Linked DNA regions of Callithrix jacchus. The main gene of each other region encodes a partner of the protein of the gene in region 2 in a complex. Links are inferred from orthologs where the notes say so. Each region holds a gene or a part of one and is shown on either strand. Other genes may lie near its edges.

Evidence for each region. The genes of interacting proteins can lie anywhere in the genome.
Region 1: MYBL1 (region 2) and RBL2 share a complex: the UniProt entries of both Homo sapiens proteins name them as parts of the DREAM complex. The link is inferred for Callithrix jacchus from reciprocal best matches to the Homo sapiens genes MYBL1 and RBL2.
Region 3: MYBL1 (region 2) and E2F4 share a complex: the UniProt entries of both Homo sapiens proteins name them as parts of the DREAM complex. The link is inferred for Callithrix jacchus from reciprocal best matches to the Homo sapiens genes MYBL1 and E2F4.

Annotation. Positions count from the first base shown.
Region 1 is NC_133521.1:11,351,187-11,361,949, reverse strand, and holds the start of RBL2 (retinoblastoma-like protein 2), read right to left. Parts: upstream 5,626-10,763; 5' UTR 5,509-5,625; coding exon 5,266-5,508; intron 1,069-5,265; coding exon 938-1,068; intron 1-937. UniProt on the Homo sapiens protein: Key regulator of entry into cell division. Directly involved in heterochromatin formation by maintaining overall chromatin structure and, in particular, that of constitutive heterochromatin by stabilizing histone methylation.
Region 2 is NC_133517.1:22,487,220-22,498,034, forward strand, and holds the start of MYBL1 (myb-related protein A), read right to left. Parts: upstream 6,734-10,815; 5' UTR 6,612-6,733; coding exon 6,553-6,611; intron 1-6,552. UniProt on the Homo sapiens protein: Transcription factor that specifically recognizes the sequence 5'-YAAC[GT]G-3'.
Region 3 is NC_133521.1:24,699,034-24,709,843, reverse strand, and holds the start of E2F4 (transcription factor E2F4), read right to left. Parts: upstream 5,626-10,810; 5' UTR 5,579-5,625; coding exon 5,444-5,578; intron 5,017-5,443; coding exon 4,907-5,016; intron 4,767-4,906; coding exon 4,605-4,766; intron 4,314-4,604; coding exon 4,270-4,313; intron 3,400-4,269; coding exon 3,338-3,399; intron 3,103-3,337; coding exon 2,808-3,102; intron 1,551-2,807; coding exon 1,308-1,550; intron 1-1,307. Other genes in the region: EXOC3L1 (exocyst complex component 3-like protein), read left to right, coding at 8,656-8,701, 9,111-9,286, 9,368-9,587. UniProt on the Homo sapiens protein: Transcription activator that binds DNA cooperatively with DP proteins through the E2 recognition site, 5'-TTTC[CG]CGC-3' found in the promoter region of a number of genes whose products are involved in cell cycle regulation or in DNA replication.

The DNA.
Region 1 (10,763 bases), on a different chromosome or scaffold from region 2:
CCCAAATATTAGACATCATTTTTCCACTTATCTTTAATAAGCTATATAAGACAATTCACCTAAAAGGCACAAAAAAAAGAATGTAATCAATTTAATTATACAACAGATAAAGCAATTTCTGCCTCTTCTTTTAAACATATTTGACTCTTTCTAAAATGGATTATAATCATGTCATTTTTCTTCCAAACAGGAAACCGAGAAATACTTACACGTTCCATTTATATTAAGACCACAAGTCCTGTACACATATTTCTAAGTACAATACCAAATAATTAATATTTTATTTACCTTTTCAACTTATAGTATCTCCTACAGTTTCTCAATATCCTTCATTTCTCTCAATATTACACAATGTTATAACCTTTAAAAATAAACTCTTCCAATGCCGGGCACAGTGGCTCACACCTGTAATCCCTGCACTTTAGGAGGCAGGAGTGGGCAGATCACAAGGTCAAGAGTTCAAGACCAGCCTGGTCAACATGGCAAAAACCCCGTTTCTACAAAAAAATACAAAAATTAGCCGGGCATGGTGGCACATGCCTGTAATCCCAGTTACTCAGGAGGCTAAGGCAGGAGAATCACCTGAACCCAGAAGGCAGAGGCCACAGTGAACCAAGATCACGCCATTGCACTCCAGCCTGGGTTACAGAGCAAGACCCCATCTCAAAAAAATAAATAAATAAAAATAAAATAATAAACTCTTCAATACAAGTGTCTAATACATTAAAATTTAAATATTTTCACCAAAGAAATAAAATATAATGGATACCAACTTTGATACAAATAAAGGAAAATCATTGGATGCTAATTTTAGCATCTAATTTCACCCGTCCACAGGTACAAATGCTCAGAAAATGATAAACAGAATTGTTACTATCACTAAGATTTATAAGCTCATATAAGCCATACTCTACTTCTCAAACTCTAACATAGTTACCTCTGCTCTGAACATTTCAGGATTCTAGTTAAAGATACATAGTTTCCTTCCACTGTCCCTTTGCTCACAGTTGGAACAGATTTTCTGCAAGCCACATATAAGGCACATGCTAACCAATGAAGATCATTTCCCTGTAAAAGAAAAGAAAATCCATTTTTAATTAATAAGCTATATATCTATTTCAATATTTTTTTAAAGTATGTTTAAATGTTTATATGGTGGTGCAGGGTGAAAAAATAAAAGAAAGTGTTTATATTTTTGTGGGAAATTTATTTTCAATAAGAACCCTATCTCATACGCTCTTCTTTTTTTTTTTTGAGATGGAGTCTCGCTCTGTCACCCAGGCTGGAGCACAGTGGTGTGATCTTGGCTCACTGCAACCTCCCCCTCCCAGGTTCAAGTGATTCTCCTGCCTCAGCCTCCAAGGTAGCTGGGACTATGTGCCACCAGGCCCAGCTAATTTTTGTAGAAACGGAGTTTCACCATGTTTGCTAGGCTGGTCTTAAACTCCTGGCCTCAAGTGATCCATCCACCTCGGCCTCCCAAAGTGCTGGGATTACAGACATGAGCCACTGTGCCTGGCCCCACATGTTCTTCTTATAATGTGACATTGACATTATTTTACTGAGAGGCAGGGAAGGTTCCCTCACCATGGAGGTGGGCAGGGGTCTGCACACTGATTAACTGTCTCTATCAACAGCAGAGGTAGAAGTGATACTATGTAATTCTAAAGATTATACAAGGCAATATAGATTCCACTTGGTTCTTTCTCTTAGGACATATGCCTTGGGAGTCCTAAAAAAACATCCAAGAATTCAGTTACCCGGTATCACCATGCTGGAGAGACCACCATGGAACAGACATACAGAGATGCCCAATGAGCTCCAGCTGTGCCAGTTCCTAGTTGCTCAAGTCTTCCAGGTGAGGTACCAGTCATTTTGATGCAGAAACCTGATATCAATATTGTCCCTGGCCTGAATTTCTGACTCACAGAACCTGTGAGCAAAACAAATTGTTTTCTGCTCCTAAGTTTTAAGGTAATTTGTTATATAGCCATCGGAATGGACATAATATTGTTGTTTGTATTTTTAATCTTGCTCAAAATCTAGAAAATTATAGAAATACAAAATTAAGCTTGAATGGACATTCAGCCACTAATTTTATACCTAATCAAAATACATACATGAATGCATGAAATTTATTCTTATAACCAAATGAAACTATTGTAGATTACTAACATATTATCATTAAACAATAATAATTTTTAAGGCATTGCTTCTAAAAGATCATCCTCACAATTCTTTTTTATTCAAGAAGTGATACAACTTTACTACTCCTATAAAAGAGAGCAAGGATGGAAGATGTCCTTTAGTTTCACTGTATCCATTACTGGTCTAAAGGAAAATAAGAAAAACTGGAAGTTCTTCATTTTTCACATTTATACATAGACTATCTTAAAAATCCATTTATATGTACTAATAGCACAGATGTATTGTCAAAAAAAACCAGCCAACGTTTGTGTATTACACTTATCTCTGGGAGATGGTTTCACAATATTCGTTATTTATAATGTAAAAGCAAATTTAGATTTATAACTACTGCATTTCTCTACTATATCAAATCTCTTAGAAAGTATAAAGTCAGTCACAACATTATCCTGTGCTTTAATAAAGGGTTTAAAAGATAATCTATAATGGTCCATTTTGGTTCTAGAGAATTCACAACTACTTGGAAGGTGGAGGGAGAACAAAAAAAAAGAAAGAAAGAAAGGTCACAACTATAACATTCCTGAAAAGAAGAAAAGAATTAGTCTTGCCAGGTGCTGTGGGTCACGCCTGTAATCCCAGCACTTTGGGAGGCCGAGGCAGGTTGATCACGAGGTCAAGAGATCAGGACCATCCTTGGTCAACATGGTGAAACCTCGTCTCCACTAAAAATACAAAAAATTAGCTGGGCGTGGTGGCGTGTGCCTGTAATCCCAGCTACTCAGGAGGCTGAGGCAGGGAGAGTTGCCTGAACCCAGGAGGCAGAGGTTGCGGTGAGCCGAGATCGTGCCATTGCACTCCAGCCTGGGTGACAAGAGCGAAACTCCGTCTCAAAAAAAAAAAAAAAGAATTAGTCTTGTGAGAATTTTACAGCGCTTAGATGGCAAAATGGAGCAGTAAGCTCTTTTAAATAATCTATGCAAAGAGCAGACTCTATGCCTAGTTTATCTTGGGTCCTAAAAAATATTTGTTGAAAAATTGCATATTACTAAAAAATAGTTATCCTCAAAATTAACAAATCATGGCCATATCTTACAGGGTCAAATAAATCTGGTTTCAGATTCTGGCTCTGACACACTGTAGCTCTAACACAGTGGGGAAATTACTTAACAGTCTCAGAGGCTGCATTTTCTTGGCTGAGGGCTGTCAGAATGAGTTACAAATTAAAAATGCACAGGAAATACAAGAAATCGAGTTAAAATTCCATAGCCCATAATCTGTATTAAATTTCCTATGAGCTTTATTTTCCCTTCCACTGCCGTGAGAATGACATCCCACATTATCTCACAGCATACCTGACTATAAGCCTCACAAGAGCAGGTATTTTTAGGCTTTGTTTACTGCTCTGTTTCCAGCACCTAGAACAGTGTGTAGCAAGTAATATTTGTGTTCAAGAAATATCTGATGAATTAATATTCATTCAATTACTGAGTAAACTAGGCTAAGAAGCTGAACCTAAAGTCTCAGTAATCAAAATATCTGAGTAATCAAACATGTGTTTTCAAAAATAATTTACTAACCACCTATTATGGGACACTTGCGATATACCACTAGAGTTCATACACATTAACCGCTATGAGTTGAAATAACTAAATGGTGGTAATGCTTGTTCTATCTAATTTACAGGATTATCCTGAGGGTAAAATTAAGAACTTGTTTAGAAGTCCTTAAAATGCCCTTCAAAAAAAAAAAAAAGCCAACCAGTCCTTCTCTTTGCCAGACTACAGAAAGTCACCGAGAGATGAGCTTGCTCAGCCAAATCATGTAAATATACAAAGAGTTTAGTAAACTTGAAAGCACAGTCCATATGGGTGCTTTATGCGCCAGAAAATACATTATTACCTTATTTAACCTTTAACAGCTCTGTGAGGTTAACACAAATATCTCCAGTTCAGAGATCACAAAACTAAACTTTCTGGTGGCTAAGTAAATTGTTCAAAGTCACCTAGGTCTGTCAGGTTCTAAAGGCACCATACACTATCTTTCTTCTGCAGATATAACAATTCAAAGAGGGAACTAGTAATTGAATTAAAATGCTATTAATGCAAATACAAATTTTAAAATAACCACTCCGGACACATAGGCAAAAACATACTATAAATAATACGTCGATTACGCCTTTGCATCCGGGCCTATTTGTCCCACTTTTTCTACAAAGTATATATAAAACTACTTAAGAAATCAAATGGCCTCAGGTTTAAATGCCACATACACACAGGCAAACAGCTGATAAACAATCCGGACTTCCGTGTCACTTCCCATTGGCGCATGAAGGGGAGGTGCCTACAGAGCTGACAGTCACTGGCTAGAATGGCCATTTTTCTCATCTGCAAGCCCTGTCCGAAGGCTGCGACCTAACGCGCCCGGATCGCGATAACAACAGGAGTCCGGTGCAATACCCAGGGTGACCAAAAGGCCCTCGAGGTAGCCACAGTCCTGATCCTAGTGACAAATGGGGGCATGTATCTGTATCCGGGTCGGCGGAGGGCTCATTTCATCTAGGCTGGGAGGAAATGGGTCTTAATTTGTTTACACAGACATAAACATAGCCCAACACCCATCAGCGCGTAGACTCAAACGCCTCCAACGCCTGGGCAAAGGCGATTTGGTTAACAGCGGGAAGCGAACAGACGGAGAAGCCTGGAGACCCAGGCGCCACAACCCGATTAATCGCGGCGCAAATAAGGAAAGGCCCCTCCCCTCCTCCGTGCGGTCTTGACAGCGACACCGGTTCATTCTACTAACAAGGCGGGTGGGGGGGGGGGGTGTCAGATGGGCCACACACACCCATGTTCCTCATCGGGACCCCAGCGCTATCTCAGCCTCGCTGTGCTACTTTAGGGCAAGGGGCGTTCCCCACTCGGAAGCCGCAGGGAAGCGCGGAGAGACCCCGTTCGCCCAAGGAGCGGCTAAGAGGCTCGGAATAGCACTGAGGGGCCCCACCCCTGTCCGGGCTGGGACCCTGCAGCCCACCCGAGGGTCCCTCGGGGCGCGCGACGCGGCTCGGAAGGCACCGGGCTCACGCCGACTAGGCCGGAAGCGCCCCTCCAGCCGCGAGCGCACCTCCAGCGTGTAGCTCTCGCTCATGCTGCGGTAGCTGTCCCAGGCCTCGGCCCGCGCCGCCTCGTCCATGTTGAGGCGGCTGCACAGCTCGTCGAACCGCTGCTGGATCTGAGGGGTGGGCGACTCGGCAGGCGGCGCGGCGTCCTCCGCTTCGCCGTCGTCGTCCTCCTCCTCATCCGAGGCTGCCGCTGCCGCAGGAGGAGGAGGCGGGGGCGGCGGCGACTGGTCACCTCCCGACGGCATAGCGCACCCCTAGGCAGCCGGTCCTCAAGTGAGGTGAGGGCCCGGGCCCTCAGCCATTCAAACCGCGAAGCTACCGCCCGGCGTCGTCCGCACCGCGCCTGTGCCGCTGCCAACGTCGCTGACCTCCCGCAGGCACCCGTAGTCTTTGAGCACGGCCTGCTGGGAAATGTAGTCCAGGCCGGCAGTTCACGGGGGCCAAAAATCGTGTTTAAAAAAAATTAGTTCGCCCAGTTTCACTAGGGGTGAAATAAAAGCACCTTCCCCGCATTTTAAGCACATACCTCCCCATCGTGAGAACATTCAACAAGGCTGTACAGACGAGAAAATGTCCAAGAGACACTGACGTGTAAAGGTTTCGTATCCAGGCTGTTCTCAGAAGTAAAACTTCCTCATCACCTGGATATCCTTATCTAAAAAATAACTATAATAGCAAGGGCTTGTCTGTATTAGTTCACGAAACCGACTTTGCAAAATATCCTAACAGTGAGAAAGTTAGGACAGTGAAAGGGATCTGACCTAAATGACTCCATGTTTCTCACCTCCCAGCTACCCTTGTTCATTTCCGGGCGCAGACCAAACTAACTAAAAGAGAAATTTAATTTGTAGTTCCAATTTGAAGCAAAGATGTTAACAGCCCTTTCCCAATACAAACCCTCTTCTTGCCTGGGGATCAGTCTGCCTGTATAAAACTAACAAATTAGCCACCAGATTAGAAATTATGATTTAGGAATTGCAGCCAGAGGCTACAAGATTCCTAACCTCCCCAATTGCTCTTAGGGATAACATCACTATGTAAAACCTAAGATTGGTGCTGGAGATATTTTTCAGACCCCGCATTCTGATGCACGAGCTGGGGCCGCTCAGACCTCAATTTGGCGCAACGAGTTCTGCTATCCCACCCAGGAACAGAATACAGCAAGATCCACTTCAACCCCCTATGATTTCATCTCCCACCTGACAAATAAGCATTCCCCACTCCCTGGTCCCCTACCCACCAGTTTATTATTTTTAAAAACCCAGTCTCCGAATTTTCTGGTAAGCTGATTAGAATAACCAAACTCCTCTCTGCGGTTCAGCTGGCTGTGCGTGAACTAAACATTTTCTTTATTGCAATTCCCCTGTCTTGATAAATCGACTCTGGGCAGTGAGCAAGTAGAATCCGTTGGGCGGTTACATTCAAATCCAAGCACTTTGGAGGCCAAGGCTGGCGGATCACCTGTGGTCGGGAGTTCAAGACCAGCCTGACCAACATGGTGAAACCCCGTCTTAAAAAAAAAAAAAAAAAGAAAGAATTCAAGGCGTGTCCACAGGGCAAAGCAAAAACAACTTTATTAAGAAAGTAATGTGATGAAAGAACAGTTACTCCATAGAGAGTAGGACATTCCCGAAAGTAAGAGGAAGAATGAACCACCCTAGGTACAATACTTGTTTATACATAAGATTAAAAAAGATTCATGGTGAGATGTGCTCTGCTACAAGCATTTGTGATAAAGAATTAATCTTCTTAATTACTATATTTTGCAAGAATCAATATTATTATCTTTAAAGCAAAATTAGGAATGCTTCTGTTCCCAAGATACCAGATATCAGGACGCTCCCGAGTCTGGGTCTGTTTCGTAAACATTATTAATCTGTTCCCTTAACTGTAAACATCTAGAGGCTAGGAGTACCTAACTTTCTGGGAGTGCAGCCTAGCAAGCCCCAGCCCCATTTTTCCTATCCTTCACTCAAAATGGAGTCACCCTGGTTTGAACGCTTCTGATATGGGGAAGTTAAATTTTCTTGAGGTTGTTATTCGATTTATGAAGCTTAGTCATAAAACGCAAGAGGTCTTTCACCTGACTGGCACATGTGCTATCTCTGTCTCTCATTCTCTCAATCTTTCCTCATTCACTCTTTGAACCCAGCCAACATACTGTGTGGGAAAGACCAGGTCACTGTCTGTCAAAGATAAACAAGCCAAACGTTATTTAAAGTGTGAAAAACAGATTTTACCCAGTAACTACCAATAGACAGCAGGGGAAAGAGCTGAGCTTCATTCCAACTTGTATAAATGTGACTGGGCCTTTTAAAGAAAGAGTAAAAGAGGAGAGGAAGGAGAGAGCAGAGCTTGAGTAAAAAATTACAAAGGGGGCCAGGCACGGTGGCTCACACCTGTAATCCTAGCACTTTGGAAGGCTGAGGTAGGTGGATCACTTGAGGTCAGGAGTTCAAGACCAGCCTGGCCATCATGGTGAAACCTCATCTTATTAAAAAAAAAAAATTACAAAGGGCGGGTCAATGTTAATGTCCTTAGGCTAGTTGTGTCTCCTAGCCAGCAACTATGAAAATCAGGCTTCTGTCCCCACATAGACTAGAAGATGGAGGCCTTAGTCTTCCTGATGATTTCAATGGGACAGTGGGGGCAGAGGGCCTGGGATCATTTCAGAGACTTGACACTGATCTCCCAGAAGCAACACAAAAATTTGATCCTCACTGTCTCCTACCTCCCTCTCTCTTTCTTCCTTTTCTTTTGCTCTTGAGAGATGATCATCTCTTAAGTGCAAAGGTTTGGAAGGAGCCTCTATGTGCCAAGAATTCTGCAGTTATCACCACATGGTGACCCAAGGCCCCTGACCCTCGGCTGGGTTGAATGAGCCAGTTTAGAAGCAGAAGCAGATCCTTCAGCCTTCAGTCAGGCTGTTCCAGCTGATGTTGTATATAACAGGGATGAATCTTCTCACTGAGCTTTGCCCAGTTGAAATCTGTAGGACAAAAAAATTATCTTTGACATTAACATTCCTTCAAAGAAGGAGATTTTAAGTCACAGCCATTTTTGATCATGGAGGTTTAACTGATTGAGTCTTAGTTGTTGAGCAAGATGCTTGGAGTTGAAATTGCAACTGCCCAGTGAGTTCTTCTGGCCTGCTGCCCAGGTAGAGCCAATTTATCAAGACAAGGGAATTGCAGTAGAGAAAGAGTTTAATATATGCACAGCCAGATAATGGGAGACCAGAGTTGTATGATTCAAATCAGTCTCCTTGAAAATTTGGAGACTAGAATTTTTTTAGGATAATTTGCTGGGCAGGGGTCTAGGGAGGGGAGAACGCCGATTGGTGGAATTGGGCATGAAATCACAGGGAGTCTAAGCAGGTTCTTCCTGGTGTCTTCTGTTCCTTGGTGGGATTGCAGAACTGGTTGAGCCGGATAATCTGGGTGGTGACAGCTGCTCCATCAGAATGCAGGGTCTAAAAATATCTCGAACACCAATCTTAGGTTTTGCAATAGTGATATCCCTTGGAGCAACTGGGGAGGTTAGGAATCTTGTTGCCTCTGGCTGCAAGGCCCCTAAATCAAAATTTCCTAATCATGTTGCTAATTTGTTAGTTCTACAAAGGCAGTCTGGTTTCCAGGCAAGGGAGGAGTTTGTTTCAGGAAAGCACTATTATTATTTTTGTTTCAAAATTAAACTATAAACTAAATTCCTCCTATAGTTAGTTCAGCCTGTGCCCGGGAAGGTACAAGGACAGTTTGGAGGTTAAAGACAAGATGACATGGTTTAGTCAGATCTCTTTCACCATCATTTTCTATCATACTTTTTGCAAGATAGTTTCAAAATGAGAGTTCTAGAATACACTTACCCAACACTTCTTTTCCTTATCTTACCTCCTTGTCCTCCCAGAAGCAGGAATGGCTATCTTGATACACAAATCTGATTGCCATATTTTTTAAGATGATATATATATAGTCAGCCCTCCATATCTGTGGGTTCAATATCTTTGGAAAAAAATTATAAAATTTTTTTATATTTTTAGCACAGACAAGGTTTCACCATGTTGGCCAGGCTGGTCTCACTCCTGATCTCAAGTGACCCACCCACCTCAGCCTCCCAAAGTACTAGGATTACAGGTGTGAGCCACCACACCTGGCCAAGTTTCTTTCAATTTAGCATAATACCTTTGAGAGTCATCCAAGTTATTTTATGTCTCAGTGGGTCTGTTCCTTTTTATTGATAATTAGTACTTCATCGCATGAATGCACATCATTTATTTATGCATTCAGCTCTTGAAGACATCTTGGTTGTTTCCAGTTGTGGATAATTATGAGAAAAGCTGCTATCACATTACATATATATTTCTCAATACTCTTGGGTAAATAGCTAGGAGTGTGCCATGGACTGAATGTGTCTTTCCAAAATTTATATGTTGAAGGCCTAATCCCTAAATACAGTATGATTGTATTTTGAGATAGAACTGTCTGGAGGTAATTAAGGTTGAATGAGATCATAAGGGTGTGGTCCTAATCCAGTATGATTGGTGGCTTTTTAAGAAGAAGAGGTTGGGCGCTGTGACTCATTCCAATAATCCCAGCACCTTGGGAGGCCAAGGCGGGTGGATCACGAGGTAAAGAGATCGAGATCATCCTGGTCAACATGGTGAAGCCCCATCTCTACTAAAAATACAAAAATTAGCTGGGCATGGTGGCGTGTGCCTGTAATCCCAGCTACTCAGGAGGCTGAGGCAGGAGAATTGCTTGAATCCAGGAGGCAGAGGTTGCGGTGAGCCGAGATCGCGCCATTGCACTCCAGCCTGGGTAACAAGAGCGAAACTCCGTCTCAAAAAAAAAAAAAAAAAAGAAGAACAGAAGGATAGCTTGCTTTCTCTCCACACATGTACAGAGGAAGGGCCGTGTGAGGACACAGCAAGAAGGCAAGAAGAGAGGCCTCCCCAGAAACCAAACCAGGCTGGCACCTTCATCTTGGATTTTCCAGCCTCCAGATCTGTGAAAAAATAATTTCTTTTTGTGGGAGGGAGAGAGGGAGGAAGGTGAATTTAAAAAAAAAGAAAATAATAATAATTTCTTTTTTTTAAGCCAGCCAGTCTATGATATTTTGTTGTGGCATGACAAGAAGGCTAAAACAGAGTGGTATTGCCATGTTGTATGGTAAGTGTGTGTCAAACATTTTTTAAAAACTGCCACACTTTTTTTTTGAGACAGAGTCTCATTCTGTCACTCAGAGTGCAGTGGCACAATCTCAGCTCATTGCAACCTCTGCCTTCCAGGTTCAAGTGACTCTCATGCCTCAGCCTCCCATGTAGCTGGGATTACAAGTGTGTGCCACCACACTTGGCTAATTTTTTGTATTTTTAGTAGAGATGGGGTTTCACCATGTTGACCAGGCTGGTCTTAAACTCCTGACCTCAAGTGATCGGCTCACCTCAGCCTCCCAAAGTGCTGGGATTACAGGTGTGAGCCACCAAATCTGGCCCCAAACT
Region 2 (10,815 bases):
CTACATGGCTGTTTTTTGTTGTTGTTTTCTTTTTGTTTTGTTTTTTGAGAGTCTTGCTCTGTCGCCCAAGCTGGAGTGCAGTGGCACAATCTTGGCTCACTGCAACCTCTGCCTCCTCATTCAAGCAATTCTCCTGCCTTAGCCTCCTGAGTAGAAGGAATTACAGGTAACTGCCATCGTGCCAGGCTAGTTTTTCTTTTTTAGTAGAGACAGGGTTTCACCACGTTGGCCAGGCTGGTCTCAAACTCCTGACCTCAGGTGATTTGCCCACCTTGGCCTCCCAAAGTGCTGGAATTACAGGTGTGAGCCGCTGCTGTGTCCAGCCCATGTATGGCTGTGTTATTAAAATATGTTATATATATATGTGTGTGTGTATGTATATATATATATACATACATACATATATATGTATATATATATACATACACACATATATATGTATATATATACATACACACACACACACACACACACACACATCCCTTACAGAGGCTTGATTAAAGAAAATACCTGATACATTAATTCAAGAAGGAGATGTGAAGAAAAAAAAATGTCTGATACATGCAGCCATTTTCAGCTATCAAAAATATCACCTGATTGGCCAATATTAAATTGTTAAATTCAACATGCTTCAGGATTCAATAACTTCATATATTTCTAAAAAGCTACTGAATCAGATAAAACACCACACTGTAGCTTTCTGTCCTATTTGTATGTACTCAGAGCACCTTACCCTTTCTTCTTCTTTTTCGTTTTTTTTCTTTTTTTTTTTGAGAGGGACTCTCACTCTGTCGCCAGGTTGGAGTACAGTGGCGCTATCTCAGCTCACTGCAACCTCCACCTCCCAGGTTCAAGCAATTCTCCTGCCTTAGCCTCCCAAGTAGCTGGGACTACAGGTGTACACCACCACACCCAGCTATTTTTAGTAGAGACGAGGTTTCACCATATTTGCCAGGATGGTCTCGATCTCTTGACCTTGTGATCCACCTGCCTTGGCCTCCCAGAGTTCTGGGATTATAGGCGTGACCCACCACACCTGGCCCCTTCTTTTTAATGTTTATCACATTTGCAAACCTCCCCATCCAAAAAGTAAGCTCATGAGTACAGACCATGTCTATGATGTTCATATCTCAGGACCAAGCATAGTACCTGCCACTCAAATAGTTGTAAAACTAATGAACAATCTTCCCTAAACTCCCAGCTCAACCAAGTGCTCTATATTCCAAAATGATCTCACTTCTTTCCAATCCAACCAAAACATCTACCTTCCTCAATACATGTGATCTCAAAGTGGATCTGAGAAAGAAAACTTTTTAACAAATAAAAATACCTCTAGGCAGAGGTAAAAGGCATTCTCATTTGTTAAAAAAAAGACTTTCAAAATCCAAAAAATACCTCCAAATGGTAGAATTTTAAGAAGCAGAACCCGCTGAAACAAACATTTTTAAATATTCAGCATAGAAAAGGTTCTTTTAAGGTACCTACCGTACTGTCTAACCTTTCTTAGAAATGCCACCAGCAACATTACCACTTCCTGACACCCCAGGTAGCCCTCAGGCATGCTTTTCACAGGGTCTTTTGCTTCTCCTCTCTTCAGATCCCCAAAATTTCATAATATTTGAAATAATATGAAATACATAAAATTACAGCATATTTGAGACTGCTTTAAAATATAGATTATTTCTAAATCAAAACAATTTTTACCTTGGGAATTTACCCATATAAATCTCGAGTATTCACAAAACTATATACATCCCATTTATGAAATCTACTTTAAGGTTCTTACAAAATACTTTAAGGATGTAAGTCCAAAAACATTATTTTGGTCTTAAAAGACTAGTTTCCAAGGAGTAATTTTCCTAAAAACTCGTTCATTTTAACCATAAAATTCTGCCCCTCACTTTTTATCCACATACTTTATTGTGAGAAATTTCTGTTTCTACATGAGGCTTCATTCTCTGTTTTGCATTTCAGCATGGTCATCAGTTTCAGACACTGATTTATATAGCCCATCCAACGTTCAGTAAGCTGGGCTTTTTGAGTGGGTAAGTGTGAAGGAGCAAGTAGAATTCCTAGAATTATCTCTCTACCACTGGGACTTTCCTAGAGTCTACCTACTTCTTAGTTTTGGCATCAAGTTATTTCTACATATATTTAAGTGAGTATTGAAAAGACAATGTTAACTTTCAAATACATGTGACCACAGAAAAGATCCTAGAAATGTATCAACATCACCAGCTACAAAGAAAGATGTCTGAGAATGTCCATAACTTGCAAAGACACCAAGGAAAGGATAAAACCCCACAAATCACCTCACCAATATTCCACTTTCACCATTTAACAACAAAAATGTCCCATCACTGAAAAGTGGTTAGACACCATCAAAATGTATCTCCTCTATTTGTCTACTTTCATATAATCTTTTGATATTTCTGTATTAAAGTAATCAATGCTGGTAATATGTAAAATTTAATAAAATCGGCTTCCTACTATATAGTTTAATAAACCATTTCTAGCCTAGTGTAATTATCTAGAAGATAGCAAAAGAAAATAACATTATTTCTCTAGTCACAAAGCAATAATAGATTAATTTAGTCTTTTGACTCTCCAGCCCAGGACTTGGTTTCCAGAATGATTCTGCCAGTTTTCTTAAGTCAAAGAAAACATCTACTTGGCAAATGTCTAATATATAACCAAACTACTACATTCAAATGTAAACAGTTTCATAGATTGTGTGTGTGTGTGTGTGAGAGAGAGAGAGAGAGAGAGACAGAGAGAGAGAGAGAGAGAGGGAGAGTCTCACTCTGTTGCCCAGGCTGGAGTGCAGTGCAACTGTGCAATCTTGGCTCACTGCAACCTCCGCCTTCCAGGTTCAAGCAATTCTCCTGCCTCAGCCTACCAAGTAGTTGGGATTACAGGCACCCACCACCACACCTGGCTAATTTTTGTATTTTTAGTAGAGACAGGGTTTCATCATGTTGGCCAGGCTGTTCTCGAACTCCTTACCTAGTGATCTGCCTCAGCCTCCCAAAGTGCTAGGATTACAGGCGTGAGCCACTGCGCCCAGCCATAGATTGTGAATTAAAGTGATTAGGGTGATTATGAAACAGTGAAAGGAAGCACACAAAAAAATTGTATAACTCATTAGGCCAGGACAATAGTTAAGAGTAACTTTACATTGGGGTGTGAGCTAACAGGACGTGATAGTTAGGACTGTCTGTGAAATAATACATACTTGATAAAATAATTCACGTGCTATTATTAAGATAGAACATTTAGAAGTTCAATTTTAGAGGACAACAATTATCTCACCTAAAACCAGTAAATGAGGTAGTCCAAGGAGGAAACTGAAATTTTTAAAAAATTTGTATTCTAAAAGAAATAGTTCTATGAAATTTTGCTCTAGTAAAATTGCATCAACTTAATATCTTTAATCACAAACTAACTCAGGTCTGAATTCTTCATAACAGACAAAAAGAATACATCTTTATTATACAATCTTGGAGGACTAGGAGCTGGCCACTTAGTTTTTTTAAAGTCCAATCATATTCAAGGTATGAAAATTTACCAGGTTGATTTAATAAAGTGAAATTAGGCCACCCAGTGGCTCATATGATGTACTGCAGACATGAATATTTTATTTCCAAATCTGGATTGTGCAAACCAGCATTATCACAGTAAGACAAATTTAACTTTACATAACCTTTGATCGTTATTAATAGCAATAATGAAGAGAGTTCTACCTAGCAATTCCATAAACAAAAGCAATATGAGAAAATTTATATTTCATTAGTATGGATATGCTTTTAAATGAGAAAAGATTACAAAATGTCTTCAAATATATATATTAAAGCTAGAAACTACCTTACAAACCATAAAATCCAAAATCCGTATATTAACCAGATGAAAAACTGAGGCAGAGTTTACCTGCTTCCCCAAAACAACACTGCCAGTTAATGACAAAACCGATTAAAAGATCAGTTCTCATATTTCAGTATAATTTCACTCCCACCCGGTTTGCTGGAAACAACACAGTAAAATTGCTTCCTACACACACACATATACATACCACTGAAAAAACATCTTCTATTTCAAGAGCTGGCTTTTATCTTTTCAGTTAGTGCAGTCACAGGTCATCTCAAGTGTAAATAATCTATTACTAGTAAATACGTTTCTAAATATTTTATAAAAGTTTATTTTAAAGGGTAAAACTTTTAAATCTAAAATTAATTATGTATATATAAATATGCTTAAAAGTCAAATATATGTTAATAACAGACATATTAATTTTAGTATTGCCTGTAAATTGTCATTACAACTCCCAGTGGGATGTAAAATTATTTAAAGTCACAATACAAATAAGTCTTTTCCTGTATGTAAATCTAGAGGAGAGATACTACAGCTATCTTAAACAAAGATCAAAACAACCAACATCCTGCAGTTGTTTCACACTTGAGGTAACACTTAGTCTTCTACTTTGTTTTTTGTTGTTGTTTTTTTTCCAGATCACATAGCATAAACATGTATTACAGGATTTACGCCTATACTCTTAGGCAAAACTTGTATACAGCGAACTATAGTTTTCACTTGAATGCTTACATGGTTGTATACTGGAGATCTCAAATTACAACCTGAAGTAACTGAATTATTTCTTTTCCCTTTCAACTATGAATTGAGTTCAAATATATTAAGACACTTAGCTAAAAGGCAAGAGATATTTTTCCCAATGACTATTTTTGCTTCAAAACAATTCACACTCTAATTTGTTTTTTGTTGAAGCACAAAGCAGAGCATCTACTATCTTCTAAGATACGTAAATCATATTTACACATGCAAGAAATGTAGACTATGCAACATATTCGGGTATGAAGACTTAAGAGACGTATCATTCAGAGATGATAATGTATCCCCACATCCTCTATCTGTATACTCCCAGGCAGAATGTAGCTTCACCCCACCACACTTAATTACTCCAGATTTATACCTCTTTAAATCATTCTATTGTGTTTAAATTAACTTATACAACTGGCAAGAAATAAATGTCAAAAATATAATTAATATTTAAATTTCAAGGTCACAGTATTGTCAATAAAACAACTTATACAGGGAAACTAACATTAAGTCATTTTTCCTTTCTTTGTCTATTATTACGAAACATGCACTACATACATAGGAAATGGACAGAAAACCCACTGGGAAGGATAAAGTTCTGACATTTAAACATTCATGTTTACCCAAAATTTTAATTTAACTAAATGCTGATAGCAGAATGAGCCAAATAACTGTTTCAAATAAAATTAACATAAATACTGATAAGTAGATAATATCAAACATTAATAAATTTGATATATTCATTTGTCATCTTAATAATTTTTAATTTTTTATATATTTAAAAATTCAAAAAGCCTAAACCGGTACTTCAGCAATCATAATTACAAGAGCTTTAAATATCTATCTTTTCTGAAGACTGATGTTAACTGGGTCCTTGAAGTTCTAGAGGGGTGGTTCTTTCCTGGGTGCTTTTGTCCCCCGAAAGATATCTGGCAATGTCTGGAGACATTTTTACTGTCATGACTGAGGTAAGTGGAGTGTTACTATCTCTACTGGGTAGAAGCCAGCGATGCTACTAAACATCTCCCCGTTACATAGAATTAACTGGTCCATGATGTCAATAGTGCAAACTTTGAAAACTGTTCTAGAGGGATCTGTGTATAAATTTATTTCATCTCAAGGGTTTGTCCTATAACTTATTACAAAACTAATAAGCTTACAGGGACTTAAAGATTTCTGCAGAAGCATCTTGCACACAGCAGATGCTTAACAGACAAATAAAGCAAAAAACTATTATGTATAGTTACTGCCGATTTTTAGCAGAAATATGCAGTGAATGACCTCCATTACTAAATTTCAACTTAGGAAATACATCACTAGTTAAGACTTTAGGGCTGTGGATCTAGGTAAGTAAAATATTTGGAAAGTCTGCCAAACATCTTTTCAGGTTTATTTGATAATGCTGAAAATCAGAAGATACCCTGTATTTTTGTTATCTGAGTAATTACTCCACATAATTTATGAGTAGCTGCTGTAATGCATATAAATTCATCCTAGCACATTTTCCAGGCCCCCCCCCCCCAAAATATGCCTTACCTCTGTGCAACACTTAGATACGGTCAGAGCCAAACACAGACACTCAAAATATTAAGTGAATCAAACACATTGCTTTATTTTAACATCAAGCTACTAATAGTAACAATGTGGCATGGTCCCAGTAGAAAATATTAAAATATACATATATACATAAAGCTGAGAATATGGGTATGGGAATTACAGAAAACATCAAAAAGGTCCTCTCAGCTATTCCCCAGAGGATTTTCCACAACGTTTCGAGGTAGCCAAGTTGGCAGAAGGGTGGCCACCCAGGTTCACCGCGTAGTTCCTATTTTGACTGTACGGTTATTCAGAAGAGTAGCCGGAACACCATTTTCAAGTCCTCCCGACAGGACAAAGCCACTTTTCTCTGCGTAGCGAACTCCCTAAAAGCGCTCGACTTACCTGGCAAGAAACCTGCCTCCAAGAAGTGGCAGCGTGAGGACTGGAGTCTGGACGCGCATTGTGGGGAGAACCACGGAGCAACCTGGGCATCTCTTACGCCCCGCGTCTCACACCCTGGTCCCCAACTCTCCACACATCGCGGTCGTGCTCCGGCCATCGAGGCGGCCGCGGGAAGAAAAACCTCTGCCCTCGCCGGGGAGGGCCTTATGGCGGGAGGGGGCAGGGGGAAAGGAAAGAGAATCTGAGCCGAGAAGGCGCCGACAGGCCTGGGCAAAAGGGGTGCCACCCACCTGCGCGACCTCTTCGCCATCCTTCAAGTACCGCATAGGGGCGGGCTGGACGGGGACGCGGGTCAGCCTCCTCTAGCCTCCGGCGAATGCTCCTTCTCCCTGACCCTCTAGCCGCTTCCCTCGCTCCCTCCGAAGGCAGCCGAGTGCGGAACGCAAGTCCTAGGCAGGGTGCGACGGAGGGACAGCGGGGGCGGACCGCGACCCGCTCCTGGCCCCTGCCCACAGCGCTGCTCCTAGCCCCGGCCCGGCCGGGCCAGGGATGCCCCCAACATGTCAGAAGGCGCGCTCCCGCCCTCCGCCGGCCTATCCCACCGCTTCTCAGCCTCCCCGCCCCGGTCCCAGCGCGACTCCGCCACAGGCGCCGACCACCGCTCTCTACCCGCAGCTAGCAGTTCTGCAGGGATCGTAGTTTCCTGCAGGGTTTTGTCCGCACCGCCGAATCTCGCGCCCAGCCTCCCTCAAGAGCCGCCGTTTGAATCTGCGCACGCGGCCCTGAACCTCATTGGCTGTGGGGGCCGCACGCGAAGGAGTGAGGGCGGGGCAGGGAGAGCGCGCGCGACTGAGGGCGGGGCTGGGGAGCTGGAAGCCGGGACTGGAACTCGCGGGAGCCGGGGAAGGAGCCGGGAGCCAGTGGGTGGGGCTGCGGGTGGGGCGCGGGTGGGGCGCGGGCGGGGCGCGGGCGGGGCGCGGGCGGGGCAGGGCGATCGAGCTGTCATAGGACCCGGAACGCGCCGAGAGGCGCACCGCGCAGGGCCTGCTGGGAGAGCGAGTTCCTGCGCTCGCCAGGAGCGGGTCCGGAAGCGGCGCCAGAACCGTCCAGCCGCCCCAAATTTCTAGGGTAAGCGGACGGAGTTTCTGGCAGAGTGAGTGGTCCCGCTTCCCGGCGGGAGTAAGTCTCTGCAGCCTCGCCTCGGCCACGTTCCTCACTCCTTACGCGTCTCCCTCCTCACTAGTTAGGAGGAACGGTCTTCTGACCCGAGACAAATGTAACCACAAATTTGCGCGGCCGTTATTTTTTAAGCAAACATGTGAGCTATTTTTACCCAGACGTCATAGCTACGAGAGTGACGAAGACTTTGGCAGGAAACCAAGTATCGTCTATTTTCCTCAGAAAGCAGCAGAAGCGTGACAAGTGAAAAAAGTTCCTAGTGGGAGACGTGCTTGAAACGGGAACGGGAGATAATCCTTGGCTGCCGTTGGTCCTCGAGGTGCTCAATTTCGTGCCCAGCTCTACGGGAAATAACGTGCGCGGCGGAGGAGCCCGGTACTGGAGAATAACGCGTGAAGACGGCAGTGGACTGGGCATTTTGCCCAGACGAATGAGCATGGTAGTTAAAGTGTAGAAGGTGACCTTCCTTCCTCTGGAGAGACTAGGGAGGGGGGGAACCACCGGAGGAGTTTCTAGCGGTTGCAGCTACTCGAAGTTCCAAGTCTAATAACTACAAACTGTTCAAGTAGCATTAAAGTAGATTTGCTACAGTAACAGTTAGAGTCGGATAAGGATCTAAATTTGCAAGGCAACATGGTCTACTGCATAGAGCACTGAGCCACATGTTAACACTGTAACAAACTGACACTTGCTATTTTGAAATTTTACGCATCATCTTTTGCAAATCAGATGCAGGTGCAGAGTGAATTAAAAGGAGCTGAATTGAGAGAAGCTTGTATACACTACTGTCAAAACTTAAACCCACTGACTTTTAACAGTTCTCTTTTTCATGGTATAGGTTCTGGGAAGGTAAAACAGGTTTCTCTCTCTCTCTCTCGACAAGGTCTTGCTCTGTCGCCCATGCTGGAGTGCAGTGGCACAATCATAGCTTACAGTAGCCTTGAACTCTTAGGCTGAAGCGACCCTCTTGGCTCGGCCTCCAAAGTAGCTGGGACTACACCCGGCCAAGTGTTTCTTCCAGATCATTCCTTAATGGGTTACTGGTTCAGTTTAAAAATAATAATAATAATTTAGAAACTAATTTAGACATTTGAGTTCCCAAATTTCATTATGTTCCCAATGTCATTTGGAATCACTGTTTCACTGTTTTCGTGTTTACCCCTGGGTCATACATTACTGCACTTATTTAAATCTAACAGGCAGCAGAGCTTCTGCTGTATTTTAGAATGTATTCAATTTTATACAGAATACCTTTTTTAGAGCTTGAAGACAGATGTTTTACATTTTGACAGTAAAACAAATTTCCCTCATTTTTACATATGGAGAAAAACGATTCCCAGAAAGATAACATTGTGAAATTACTTAAATCAGTTATAAAACTCAGGGCAAAGTATGGAATTAAAGTGCACCATAGTCATTTGAATACACATGCTCAGATGTATGATAAACTAAGGAGGGTTTTTTTTAAGCACATTTAAAGATTTTATTCAGAGTATATAAAGAACTCAAAACTCAGTGAGGAAAAAATATTTTTTTTAACGGGCAAAAGATTTAAACAGATTTCACCAAACAAGATATATACCTGACAGGCACATGAAATGATGTTCTACCTCATTAGTCATTGGAGAAATGCAAATTAAACCACAATGAGGTACTACTACACATCTGTTAGAATGAGGGTGGAAAATGACTGACTACAAATGTTGGTGAAGATGAAAATGCTGAGCAAGTATAATTTGCATACATTGCTGGTAGTGATGTAGAAAGCCATTTTGGAAAACGTTTATAGTGGCTTTGTTTTTTAATTTTTGTGGGTACATAGTAGGTGTATATATTTGTGGAGTACATGAGATGTTTTGATACAGGCATGTAACGTGAAATAATCACATCATGGTGATGGAGTATCCATCCCCTCCAGTATTTATCTTTTGTGTTACAAACCCATTACACTCTTTCAGTTATTTTAAAGTGTACAATTAAATTATTGACTATAGTCACCTGTGCTATCAAGTAGTAGGTATTTTGTTTGTTTGTTTAGACAGAGTCTCACTCTGTCGCCCAGGCTGGAGTGCATTGGCACAATCACTGCTCACTGCAACTCCACCTCCCACATTCAAGCAATTCTCGTGCCTCAGCCTCCCAAGTAGCTGGGATTACAGGCATGTGTCACCATGCCCAGCTAATGTTGGGAGTTTTGTTTGTTTGTTTGTTTGTTTGGAGACAGTCTCACTCTTGCCCAGGCTGGAGTGCAGTGGCACGATCTCAGCTCACTGCAATCTCCACCTCCTGGGTTCAAGCATTTCTCCTGCCTTAGCCTCTCAGTAGCTGGGATTACAGGCATGCACCACCATGCCTGGCTAATTTTTTGTAATTTTAGTAGAAATGGCAGTCTCACCATGTTGACCAACCTGGTCTGGAACTCCTAACCTCAGGTGATCCATCCACCTCAGCCTTCCAAAGTGTTGGGATTACAGGCATAAGCCACAATACCTGGCCTAATTTTTGTATTCTTAGTAGAGATGGGAGTTTTGCCACGTTGGCCAGGCTGGTCTTGAACTCCTGAGCTCAGGTGATCTGCCCACCTCAGCCTCCCAAAGTGCTAGGATTATAGGCATGAGCCACTTAAGCCTAGCCTATTATTATTTTGTTGTTGTTGTTGAGACAGAGTTTTGCTCTTGTTGCCCAGGCTGTAGTGCACTGGAGCAATCTCAGCTCACTGCAACCTCTGCCTTCCAGGTTCAAGCAATTCTTTTGAAGCCTGGTCTAGTTTTAAAGTTTTTAGAGATGGGGTCTAGCTGTGTTGCCCAGGCTGGAGTGCAGTGGTGTGATTATAGCTCACTGTAACCTTGAACTCCTGAGCTCTAGCAGTCTTCCTGCCTCAATTTCCTAAAGTGTTGAGATTATAGGCATGAGCCATCTGTGCCCAACCAGGGCCATTCTTTAGAGATGCTGGTGTGGTTACTAAGAGAAACAATCTTCCTTGGTCTTCTTGCACTCCTATATACATCTTGGTGGGTGTGCCAAGATGCAAGGCCCCGAGTACTCTTTTACACAGGCCATTTCTAAGGATTGCTTGCAGCTAGT
Region 3 (10,810 bases), on a different chromosome or scaffold from region 2:
TCAGGCCTGCATTTCAGAAAGATCATTTGTCAGGTAAAGAGAAAGATCCTGAAGAATCCAGTACAGAGGTGGCTAGGGGTCATCCTGAGTGCTGAGGATACCAGAGGATAAGAGGGGACATCTGGGACAGACCTTGCTGAGCTGACATGGGGTGAGCAGCAGAAGGAGGAGGGAGGAGATGGAATTAGAGTGAGAGCCAAGGGTCAAGCCTGGACAACTAGAGCCAACGGTAGGGTGCACAGAGGTGGAAAGCAAGCTTCAGAAGGAAACTGAGTTCAGTCGATGACAGGCGGGAATAAAGTGTCCATTGTATGTTCAGAGGATGGCAGCTGGACACCAAAGTGTGCAGACTGGGAAAAGATCTAGGCCAGGCAGTGGTTGGGAATTCGTTCACCCAGAGCTGCAGCCATCTCCAGGAGTGGAATGGGACAGAAACCTCGAAAGCACCAATGTTTAAGGATGTGCCAGGAAGAGTTCAAAAAGAAGCCAGTGAGGTAGGAGAGCCAAGAGCTGACATCATTAAAGCCTAAGAAAAAAGAACATTGACGTGAACCAAGAGAGCACCAGGCAAAACACGCTGGAGAGCTGTTGGGCTTGGCAAGCCTTCGGCAGCTTCTCAAGTGCACCACTGGCTGGGCGTGGTGGCTCACACCTATGAGGTGGGTGGATCACCTGAGGTCAAGAGTTCAAGAACAGCCTGTCCAAAATCAAGAAACCCCGTCTCTACTAAAAATTCAAAATTAGCCGGGTGTGGTGGCACATGCCTATAGTCCCAGCTACTCAGAAGGCTGAGGCAGGAGAATCGCTTGAACCCAGGAGGCAGAGGTTGCAGTGAGCCGAGGACACACCATTGCACTATATCCTGGGCAACAAGAGCGAAACTCCATCTCAAAAATAAATAAATAAAATAAAATAAATAAAAAGGTGGTACTGCTATAACACTGGGGCTACAGAGTGACTGCTCCAACCTGAAAGGTGACTAGGAGATCAAAATGTGGAATGGAGATTACTTTTTCAAGGTGTGCAGAGAGAAAAGAGACAGAGAAGATGAGAGAAAGTGATAGAAGTGTCAATTAGTGAGACGAGAATGGTGCTCCAAGGGGTGGCAGGAAGGGCTGAAGAGAGGGCAAGGAGTTCTGTGCTAGCCCAGGACGGGATACTAGAGAGGGCATCAGCACTGCCCCAGAGGTGCTGGCAGAGAGTTCTGGTCCGGCAAGGTTGACAGGAGCTAGGTTCCATCCCCAATTGTGTTTCTGACCTAGGGCTGGACTGAGACTGGACTCTGCCCCTGGGAGGAAGGTACTCACCACCTGTGGGGTCTGCCTTGATGGGCTCAAAGGAGTCAGAAGGATTGGGTCCAGATGAACTGCTGCTGTTACTGCTACTGCTGCTGCTGTTACTGCTACTGCTGCTGCTGCTGTCCAGCAAGGCAGAAGACTGCAGTGGCCGGGTGTCCAGTGCTGTCGGGCCCAGTGGGAATGAACTGAGCTCAGCACTGTCTTTGCTATCAGTTCCAGGGCCGCCACTCACTGCAATGACAGCCCCCGAACCTAGTCACACAAGGTCAGGAAGAGGTTATTGAATCTGGCTGGCCCCACAGCCAGGAGGACCACAAGCCTGGTTCTCAGACTCATGGAGAATTAGGCATTGTCAGTCGCCCCAGAGGAGGCAACCTGGAAATCAGTCGCTATAGGAGACAGGGGCACCAGACCTATGGAAAGAGACTAATGGACAACATGTCTGCTGTGACCCTCCTTCAAGATGGGCTACCAGGGCAATGGAGGTGGGGGGACTGCCACCAGCAATGTCCCTTTCCCAGAGTCAGAGGTTCCCTGTTAAAAAAAAGTCCCATTCAGCCAGGTGCGGTGCCTCAGGCCTGTAATCCTAGCACTTTGGGAAGCTGAGGTGAGCAGATCACGAGGTCAGGAGTTCAAGACCAACCTGGCCAACATGGTAAAACCCCATCTCTACTAAAAATACAAAAAATTGGCCATGCATGGTGGCATGTGTGTGTAATCCTAGCTACTCAGGAGGCTGAGGCAGGAGAATCACTTGAACCCAGGAGGTGGAGGTTGTGGTAAGTGGAGATCAAGCCATTGCACTCCAGCCTGGGTGACAGAGCAAGACTCCATCTCAAAAAAGAAAAGAAAGGCCCATTCAATTAACGAGGCATAGTGGCATGTGCCTGTAATCTCAGCTATTCAGGAGGCTGAGGCAGGAAAATCACTTGAACTCAGGAGGCAGAGGTTGCAGTGAGCCAAGATCATGCCACTGCACTCCAGCCTGGGCAACAGAACGAGACTCCATCTTAAAAAAAAAAAAAGCCCCATTCAGGTGGGCTCGGTGGTTCATGTCTATAATCCCAGCACTTTGGGAGGCCAAGGTAGGTGGATCATTTGAGGTCAGGAGTTGAAAACCAGCCTGGCCAACATGGTGAAACCCCATCTCTACTAAAAGTACAAGAATTAGTCAGGTGTGGTGGTGGTCACCTGTAATCCCAGCTACTCGGGAAGCTAAGGCAGGAAAACTGTTTGAGCTCAGGAGGTGGAGGTTGCATGAGCCAAGATAGCACCATTGCACTCCAGCCTGGCATTGCATTCTAGCCTGGGCTCCATCTCAAACAGCAAGGCTCCATCTCAAACAAACAAAAAAACCTCATTTGTTACCATAGCAAAGGAAGGCTAGATAGAGGTCAGGAAAAGGACAGTCCCTAATCTGAAGAGTCTCTTCCAACTCTGCATGTGGCATTCCACAACACAGAGCTACTGCCTCTTAGGACCCTGTCACAAGCTCCCATGGTGCCTCACCTGTGATCTCAGCTGCTGGGCTGGCCATCCCCTGGACTTCTGTGCTACCAGGGAAAGGAGTAGGAGTGAGCTGAGGACTATTTGGACGTGAGGCTTCCTGGGAATGAGCAAGGGCAGGCTTGGGCCCAGGTGGAGGCGTAGAAACAGCAGGTGGGCTCTGGAGCAGATCTTCAGGTGGTGGCACAGGCACAGCCACAGGGGGTGAGCTCCATGCCTCCTTGTTCACCAGCAGAACCTCAATGGGACCACTCACACTCTTCAGGTGAATCTGGTATTTCTTCTGCCCATTGAGACCCTAGAGATGGGTGGCAAGGGATGGGAGATGGGTAGAATTGGAAGCACGCTTGTGGTCCTGACTCCTGCCCAACTCTTGAGTCAGGACCACAGTATCCTCTCCCACCCAGGCTGCCCATCCTCCCAGATAACCCCGAACTCCAGGCCTCCCCCTACCTGCCCCACCCGGGACTTATCAGACTCCACAGCCAGCACCCGCCCTCAGCTGACCCCGCCTGCCTAGGCTAAGCACCCACCTCTGGGATGGGCACCTCCAGGCTGGTGCCTGATGGGGCCCGGATGGCCAAGAGGGTATCTCCTAGAATGACAGAGAATGGGTCAGAGCCCATAGGCTAAATCTGAGCTGGGAACAGAGGTGCCTGCCTTTTGGAGCAAGGCAGGAGATCATAGTCTCTGAGGGGCTAGTCAGTGGGTCTCACCAATCCCCTACAGTGGCTGAGCAGAACTAAAGCTCTTCTCTTTCTGAGGGTCAGTAACCAGGAAATCTGAGTTCAAGTATGTGGAGTGAAAGATCACTGGCCACAGGCACCTCACTCCACCAATGGCTGATCCCTAGGTGAAGGTGTTCTAGCCAAGGCCAACATCCCTTTCCCATGACCAGCCTTGGGGATGCAAGATGGAGAAGAAACACATCTGTAGGGCACAGTGGCTCAGGCCTATAATCCCAGCACTTTAGGGGCTCAAGCCAGTTAGACAGCTTGAGCTCAGGAGTTCAAGACCAGCCTGGGCAACATAGCGAGACCTTGTCTCTTTAAAAAAAGAAAAAGGAATAGATCCTGTATTCACAATACAAGTAAATAACAGGTTGGAAGTGGGCACCCCCATACCCTGCATACGAGCACGTAAGAGTCTGCACACAAGCAAATACACACATATCCTCTCTCCCCCTCTTCTCCCTTGTGCCTCTGTCATGCCCAAGAAGCCAAATCCAGGTAACAGTGCATATGGGAACAAACCCAGGGACTCACTCCAAAATTCCTGTACCCTCTCAGTACAGCTGACCTCCACAGGGTCCCAGTGCCCCTCAGACAGAAGACTTACCCTGCCTGGGTCCTCTTTGAGCAGGCCCCAGAAACCCTCTTGAGAGACACTCAAGAGACAGTGTCTCCTGAGACACTGAGCCCAGTGCCCCAGCCCACCCCCTTGTCCCTACCCAGGCTCTGCTCACCAGCAAAGCATCTGCAGATGTCCTCATGAGTGACGTAGGCCAAAGTGTGAGGGTTAAGGAGAATGGCCCTATGGTGACAGACGGCAGACTACAGAGAAGACCCAACTCTTTAGCCAAAGTCTGACACATAGGCCCTCGGAGAAAGTTCTGGGGACTGGGGTCCACCTGGGGAGGGATCACAGGCTAAGACTGGGAAGGGGCTCTGAGGAGGGAGCCTGAGGTTGGGACACGGCTAGGGGCTACAGGACAAGCTCCCAAGAGGGAGAGGGCTCAGGGCAAGTTGAACCAGAGGGCCCCTTGCCCACTCGCCACAGCAGAGACCGTCAGGAGGATATCAGCTGTTCTGCACGTCCTCTGTGACATTCCGGATGCTCTGCTGCACCCACACCTTGTGCTGGTCTAGTTCTTGCTCCCGCTGTTGCAGCTCCTCGATCTCTGCCTTGAGCTCAATCAGCTTGTCGGCAATCTCCCGGGTATTGCAGCCAGGCCCCACACCCCTGAGCCCAGGGAGTGGGGCCAAGAGGAACTGCTGAGAACTCTGGGTCCCACGGCCCCTGCTTTCTTCCACATCCTCCACCCCACACCCCTGACACTTCTGGGTGGGAGACTCTACTACCCTCCCACTATCCCCACTCACTTCCACTGGATGCTGTTCTTGGACTTTTTCTCGATCAGTCCGATACCTTCCAAAACATTGGTAATGTCATAAATCCGCCGCTTCTGGCGTACAGCTAGGGTGTCAGCTGCCTGGCAGACAGAATAGAGAATGATCAGCTCCACTCTCGGGTGTACCCCCAGCCACCCTGAGACGTGGTCTGGGAAGGGAGTAACCTGGGTTCCAACCCTGTAGTGCCTCTCAGGTGCTACTGCAGCTCAGGACCGCAGGGTGAGAAGAGACCTGGCGCACAGCCCTGAACTGGTGTTCTGAAGCTCTTCTCCCAGCCAGCCAGGAAGGGCCACGAGGACAAACACCTGCAGCCCCGAGCCTGGCCCATAGCTGTCGCTCAATGGCCTCGGCTGAATGAATGAAAGATCCCCCGGCCTCTCTCCTGTGAGAAAGCACACGATGGCGGCCAGCTCTCTGAGGACCCGGCCTGGCCGCCCCCGGGGTTCCCGCTACCGGCTCAGGCCTTGTCCACCACCCCGCCTTGTCGTCCCTTAGCCCGGGCCGCACCAGCTTGAGGTCAAGCACGCCATCCTTGGCCTCCTGCAGAAGCGACACGAACTTGGTGGTGAGTAGTCCCAGGCTCTTTTCGTGCCGGCTTGGAGTGCCCGGGGGCGGCGGCGCCTGTGGCCCGGCCTCCGCCATCTCACCCGCCCGCCGCCTCCCCTCAGCCAGGCCAGGCCGGCGCCGCCGCCACTTCCGCTTCCGTTCCTGCCCTCCTAGCCGCCGGAGCCAGAGTCGTTTCTTCCGCTTCCGCCGCATGTCCCTTCTAGGGAACGCGGCGCTATTTTTGTCTGAAGGCGCAGCCGCAAAAGTTTAGGGACCATTAGCAAATGTCCAGCCGCCTAATAAGACGAAAACTACTTAGGTATACCGGGAGTTGAGGATGAAGTTGGGGAGGAATGAGGAGGATGTCAGTTGGCAGCCCTGGCAGTAGAGAAAGGGGCGCCATCGGAACTTTCCTTGCCAATTTGCCCCAACATCACCAACTCTGTGCAGTACCCATCTCGGGAGAGGAGACCACACTACCCAACTAACCCAATCTGTTCCCTCAAACCTGTTCCTTTTTTTTGTTTGTTTTCCTATTTATTTAGAGACGGAGTCTCGCTCTGTCACCAGGCTGGAGTGCAATGGTGCAATATCGACTCACTGCAACCTCCCCTCCCGGGTTCAAGTGATTCTTCTGCCTCAGCCTCCCGAGTAGCTGGTACTATAGGCACGCACCACCAAGCCCAGCTAATTTTTGTTATTTATATATATATATATATTTACATATATGTAATTTACATATATATACGGGTATATCTATAGAGAGAGTTTTTTTTTTTTTTTTTTTGATACGGATCTTCGCTCTCGTCACCCAGGCTGGAGCACAATGGCACAATCTCAGCTCATCGCAACCTCTGCCTTCCGAGTTGAAGCGATTCTCCTGCCTCAGCCTCCCAAGTAGCTAGGTTACAAGCCCACACCACCACACCTGGCTAATTTTGTATTTTTAGTCGAGATGCGATTTCTCCATGTTAGTCAGGCAGGTCTCACTCAAACTCCTGACCTCAGGTGATCCACCCACCTTGGCCTGCCAAAGTGTTTGGATTACAGGCGTGAGCCACCTCGCCCGGCCATTTTGTTATTTTTAACATTGTTGTTTCTTTCAGGTCAGGTTCTCTGGGAAATGGGACTCATTTTGCAGCAAGTTTGTTGGTGATCCACACCTGTTTTTTGAGGTAGGGTCTGAATTTGTTTGTTGCCCAGGCTGGAGGGCAGTGGCAGGATCAATGCAGTCTCAGCTTCCTGGGCTTAAGCAATTCTCCCACCCCAGCCTCCCAAGTAGCTGGGACCACAGGCATGCACCACCACATCTGGCTCGCTTATTTTTAGTTTGCTTTTGTTTTTGTTTTTCAGTCGGAGTCTCTCACTCTGTTGCCCAGGCTGGAATGCAAGGGCACAATCGGCTCACTGCAACCTCCGCCTCCTGGGTTCAAGCAATTCTTCTGTCTCAGCCTCTTGAGTAGCTGGGATTACAGGCACCTGCCACCACACCCAGCTAATTTTTGTATTTTTTAGTAGAGACCGGGTTTTACCACGTTGGTCAGGCTGGTTTCAAACTCCTGACCTTGTGATCCGCCCACCTTGGCCTCCCAAAGTGCTGGGATTACAGGCGTGAGCTTCTGCACCCAGCCGTTATTTTTAGTTTTTGTAGAGATGAGGGGCTCACTATATGGCCCAGGCTAGTCTCGAACTGGTGGGCTCAAGTGATCCTCCCACCTCAGCCTCCCACAATGCTGAGATTATAGGCGTGAGCCATCGCACCTGGCCAGGATCCACATCTTTAAGGGAGTAAAACAAGCAGAATTGGGCAGATGCAATTATAGCCCTTGGAGAGATGCGATTATATTATAGGCCTCAGCCTATCCCACTGGGACGTCTGAAACTGGGCAGCACTACTGAAGGGTTCATGTTCACGAGATGGTACCATGCCTTTGCAACCGAATATTGACTGAGAGACTCAGTGGTGTGACCTCAGCAGCCCACACTCCTCGCATTTGGAGAATGAGTGCCTCTGTCCTGAAGGGTGGATTTGGGTGGTGGACTGAACATCCACTAAATTATTACCACCTTGTAGTCCCTTTCCTGGGTCCCTGTAATTCTCAAGATAAACATAGCTGCCCAGTTGTGGTGACTCGTACCTGTAATCCCAAAACTTTGGGAGGCTGAGGGAGGCAGATCGCTTGAGCTCAGGAGGCTGCAGTGAGCTATGATGGTGACACTGTACTCCAGACTTGGTGACAGATCGAGACGCTGTCTAAACAAAAAAGATAAACACACTTTTCATGACCCTATCCTCCCACCCCCGACCACACCCCTCTTTACAACAGCCTGTCACCTCTCACTTCTCCGGAGAGGTACACACCCTCCTCAGAGTCAGGTCAACACAGTTTCCATCCTGTGATGTTGACGTCATCTTCATTCATATCTGCACACTGCCCACCACCCCAGGTTGAGGCCAAGTCTAGCAAATCCCTGTCTCCTGTCCTGAGCACTAAGAGGTTCTGGGTGGGCTGGTCAAGACTTGTTGATCACAAGTACATCCCGCCCACCCCTGCTCAGGGAAGTGGCGCCCAGCCCTCCCCACCCTCCATGCAAATGCTTTTTCCTGTTGGGAATAAAATGCCAGAGACTCAGCTTCCTTCCTTTCTGTCAGTGGCCTTGGGGAGGGAGGAGCCTTGGTGGGAAAAAGGGGCTTCTGGGCTGGGGAGTGAGAGAAAGACTTCCTTGGGGAGAGGAATTCAGCTGCACGCTGGAGTCAGCTGGAGTCACATAGGCCCTGTGAGCAAGTGGCAGGCGTGCCCAGCTCCATCGGGGGAGAGGGCTGTTCTCAAGGTCAAGGTCATTTGGGAAGGGCGAACTGGACGCCTGATCAAATCTGGTAAGTTCTGTACCAAATTGTCCTGTGCAGCTCAGAGCAGGACCAGGTTCCAGTTGAGGCCTGTGCCCACCCTGTCTCACTTGGCATCTGCAGGGGCATAACTGGGAAACCTAGCAGGCAAAGCCTCCCAGGTGCCCACTGCATCACACCTCCTCCCTCTCATTTCCTGAGAGTACCAGGAAGAACCTCCTTCCTCCTTCTCAGAAGGGCCTAGACAGAGGCAGCAGCTCAGAGGGGCATCTACTCTGCCTGCTTGCCCCGGGCCCACCTCAGCCCCGGCTCCTCCAGGCCCGCAATGGACTCAGCAGCCAAGGATGAAATGCGGCCCACGTTGTCCCCTGGTATGAACCTTCTAAGTGGGCTGGGGGAGGAATGATGGCAACAAAGATGGGACTGGCTGGGTGTGGTGGCTCACACCTGTAATCCCAGCAATTTGGAAGGCCGAGATGGGTGGATGACCTGAGGTCAGGAGTCCAAGACTAACTTGGCCAACATAGTGAAACATGTCTCTACTAAAAATACAAAAACTAGCTGGGCATGGTGGCACACGCCTATAATCCCAGCCCCTCGGGAGTCTGAGGCTGGAGAATCACTTGAACCCTGGAGGCGGAGGTTGCAGTAAGCTGAGATCACCCCATTGCACTCCAGCCTGGGCAACAGAACGAGAATCCACCTCAAAAAATAAATAAAAAGAAAGATGGGACTGGGGGCATTGGGCCCTCCCCCTCCCTGACTGACATGGCTGCCCAGGCTCTTCCTGCCCAGGGCCTGAGTGGCCGGAGCAGGAGCGGGCAGAGCAGCTAGCCCGGGGTGCAGCGCTCAAGTGGGCCTCGGGCATCTTCTACCAGCCGGAGCAGCTGGCCAGGCTAGGCCAGTACCGCAGCCGAGAGGTGCAGCGTACCTGCTCTCTGGAAGCACGCCTCAAGGTGGGCATGGAGCAGGGTTGGGTGGGTGCTGGGACTGTGCTGCAGGGTTGGCCAGGCCTCACTGGCTCCATCTCTCCACAGTCAGTGATGCAGTCATACCTGGAAGGCGTGCAGACTGGTGTGTGGCAGCTGGCCCGGGCCCTTGAGGCCGTGAAGGAAACCCGGGAAGCCCTGAGCCAGGCTCGTGGGTTGCTCCAGGGCATGTCCCAGGCCTCACAGCCCCTACAGCCCCTACGGGAGCAGGTTGCCCAGCACAAGCAACTGCAGGCCCTGTCTCAGTTGTTGCCTCGGCTACGGGCAGGTGAGATGCAGGGACCCTAGGCCTCAGTCTCTGACTGTCGGTCCACAAACACACATTCCTGACCAAAGGGCTGGGGCACTAGATGGGGAACTGTATAGAGCAGCACACTAGGGACCTTCCAGAGAGTAGCCCAGGCTGCCCATGGCCTATGAGGCAGGGTGCAAATCGGCTCATCCTGGGGTTCCCAAGCGTGGGATGCTTGAGTTGGGACAGACACCCAGTCACATGACTCTGGCCACCTGCTTATCAATATATTGAAACTCTTCCCTAACAGAGTGGCTGAGTGACTACTGGCAGGGCCCCTCGATTTCCCCTGCCTTCCCTCCAGGATCCTCAGCCTTTTTGTGTTCCATGAGTTCATGTGTTGACCTCTGGCCCACCTGGCCTCTAGGACATTGCCAAGATCCTCTTAGATTGGCCAGTACTCTACTGGTTATTTTTTTATTTGTGGTTTTTTTACATGTCTTTTTTTTTTTTCTTTTTTTAACTTTTTGAGAGGGAGTCTCGCTCTGTCGCCAGACTGGAGAGCAGTGGCTGGATCTTGGCTCACTGCAACCTCTACCTCCCGGGTTCAAGCAATTCTCCTGCCACAGCCTCCCGAGTAGCTGGGACTACAGGTGTGTGCCACCACGCCCGGCAAATTTTTGCATTTTTAATAGAGACAGGGTTTCACCATGTTGGACAGGACAGTCTCAATCTCCTGACCTTATGATCTGCCCGCCTTGGCCTCCCAAAGTGCTGGGATTACAGGCATGAGCCACTGCGCCGGGCCTATTATTATTATTTTTTTGAGACAGAGTTTCACTCTTGTTGCCCAGGCTGGAGTGCAATGTTGCGATCTCAGCTCACTGCAGCCTCTGCCTCCCAGGTTCAAGCGATTCTCCTGCCTCAACCTCCTGAGTAGCTGGGATTACAGGCATGCACCACCACACCCGCTAATTTTGTATTTTTACTGGAGATAGGGTTTCTCCATGTTGGTCAGGCTGGTCTTGAACTCCCTACCTCAAGTGATCTGCCCATCTCAGCCTCCCAAAGTGTCGGGATTGCAGGCATAAGCCACCTTGCCAGACCGTTTTGTTTTTTGTTTTGTTTTGTTTTTTGAGACAGAGTCTTACTCTGTCGCCCAGGCTGGAGTGCGGTGGTGCAATCTCGGCTCACTGCAACCTCCACCTCCCAGGTTCAAGTGATTCTCCTGCCTCAGCCTCCTGAGTAGCTGGGATTAC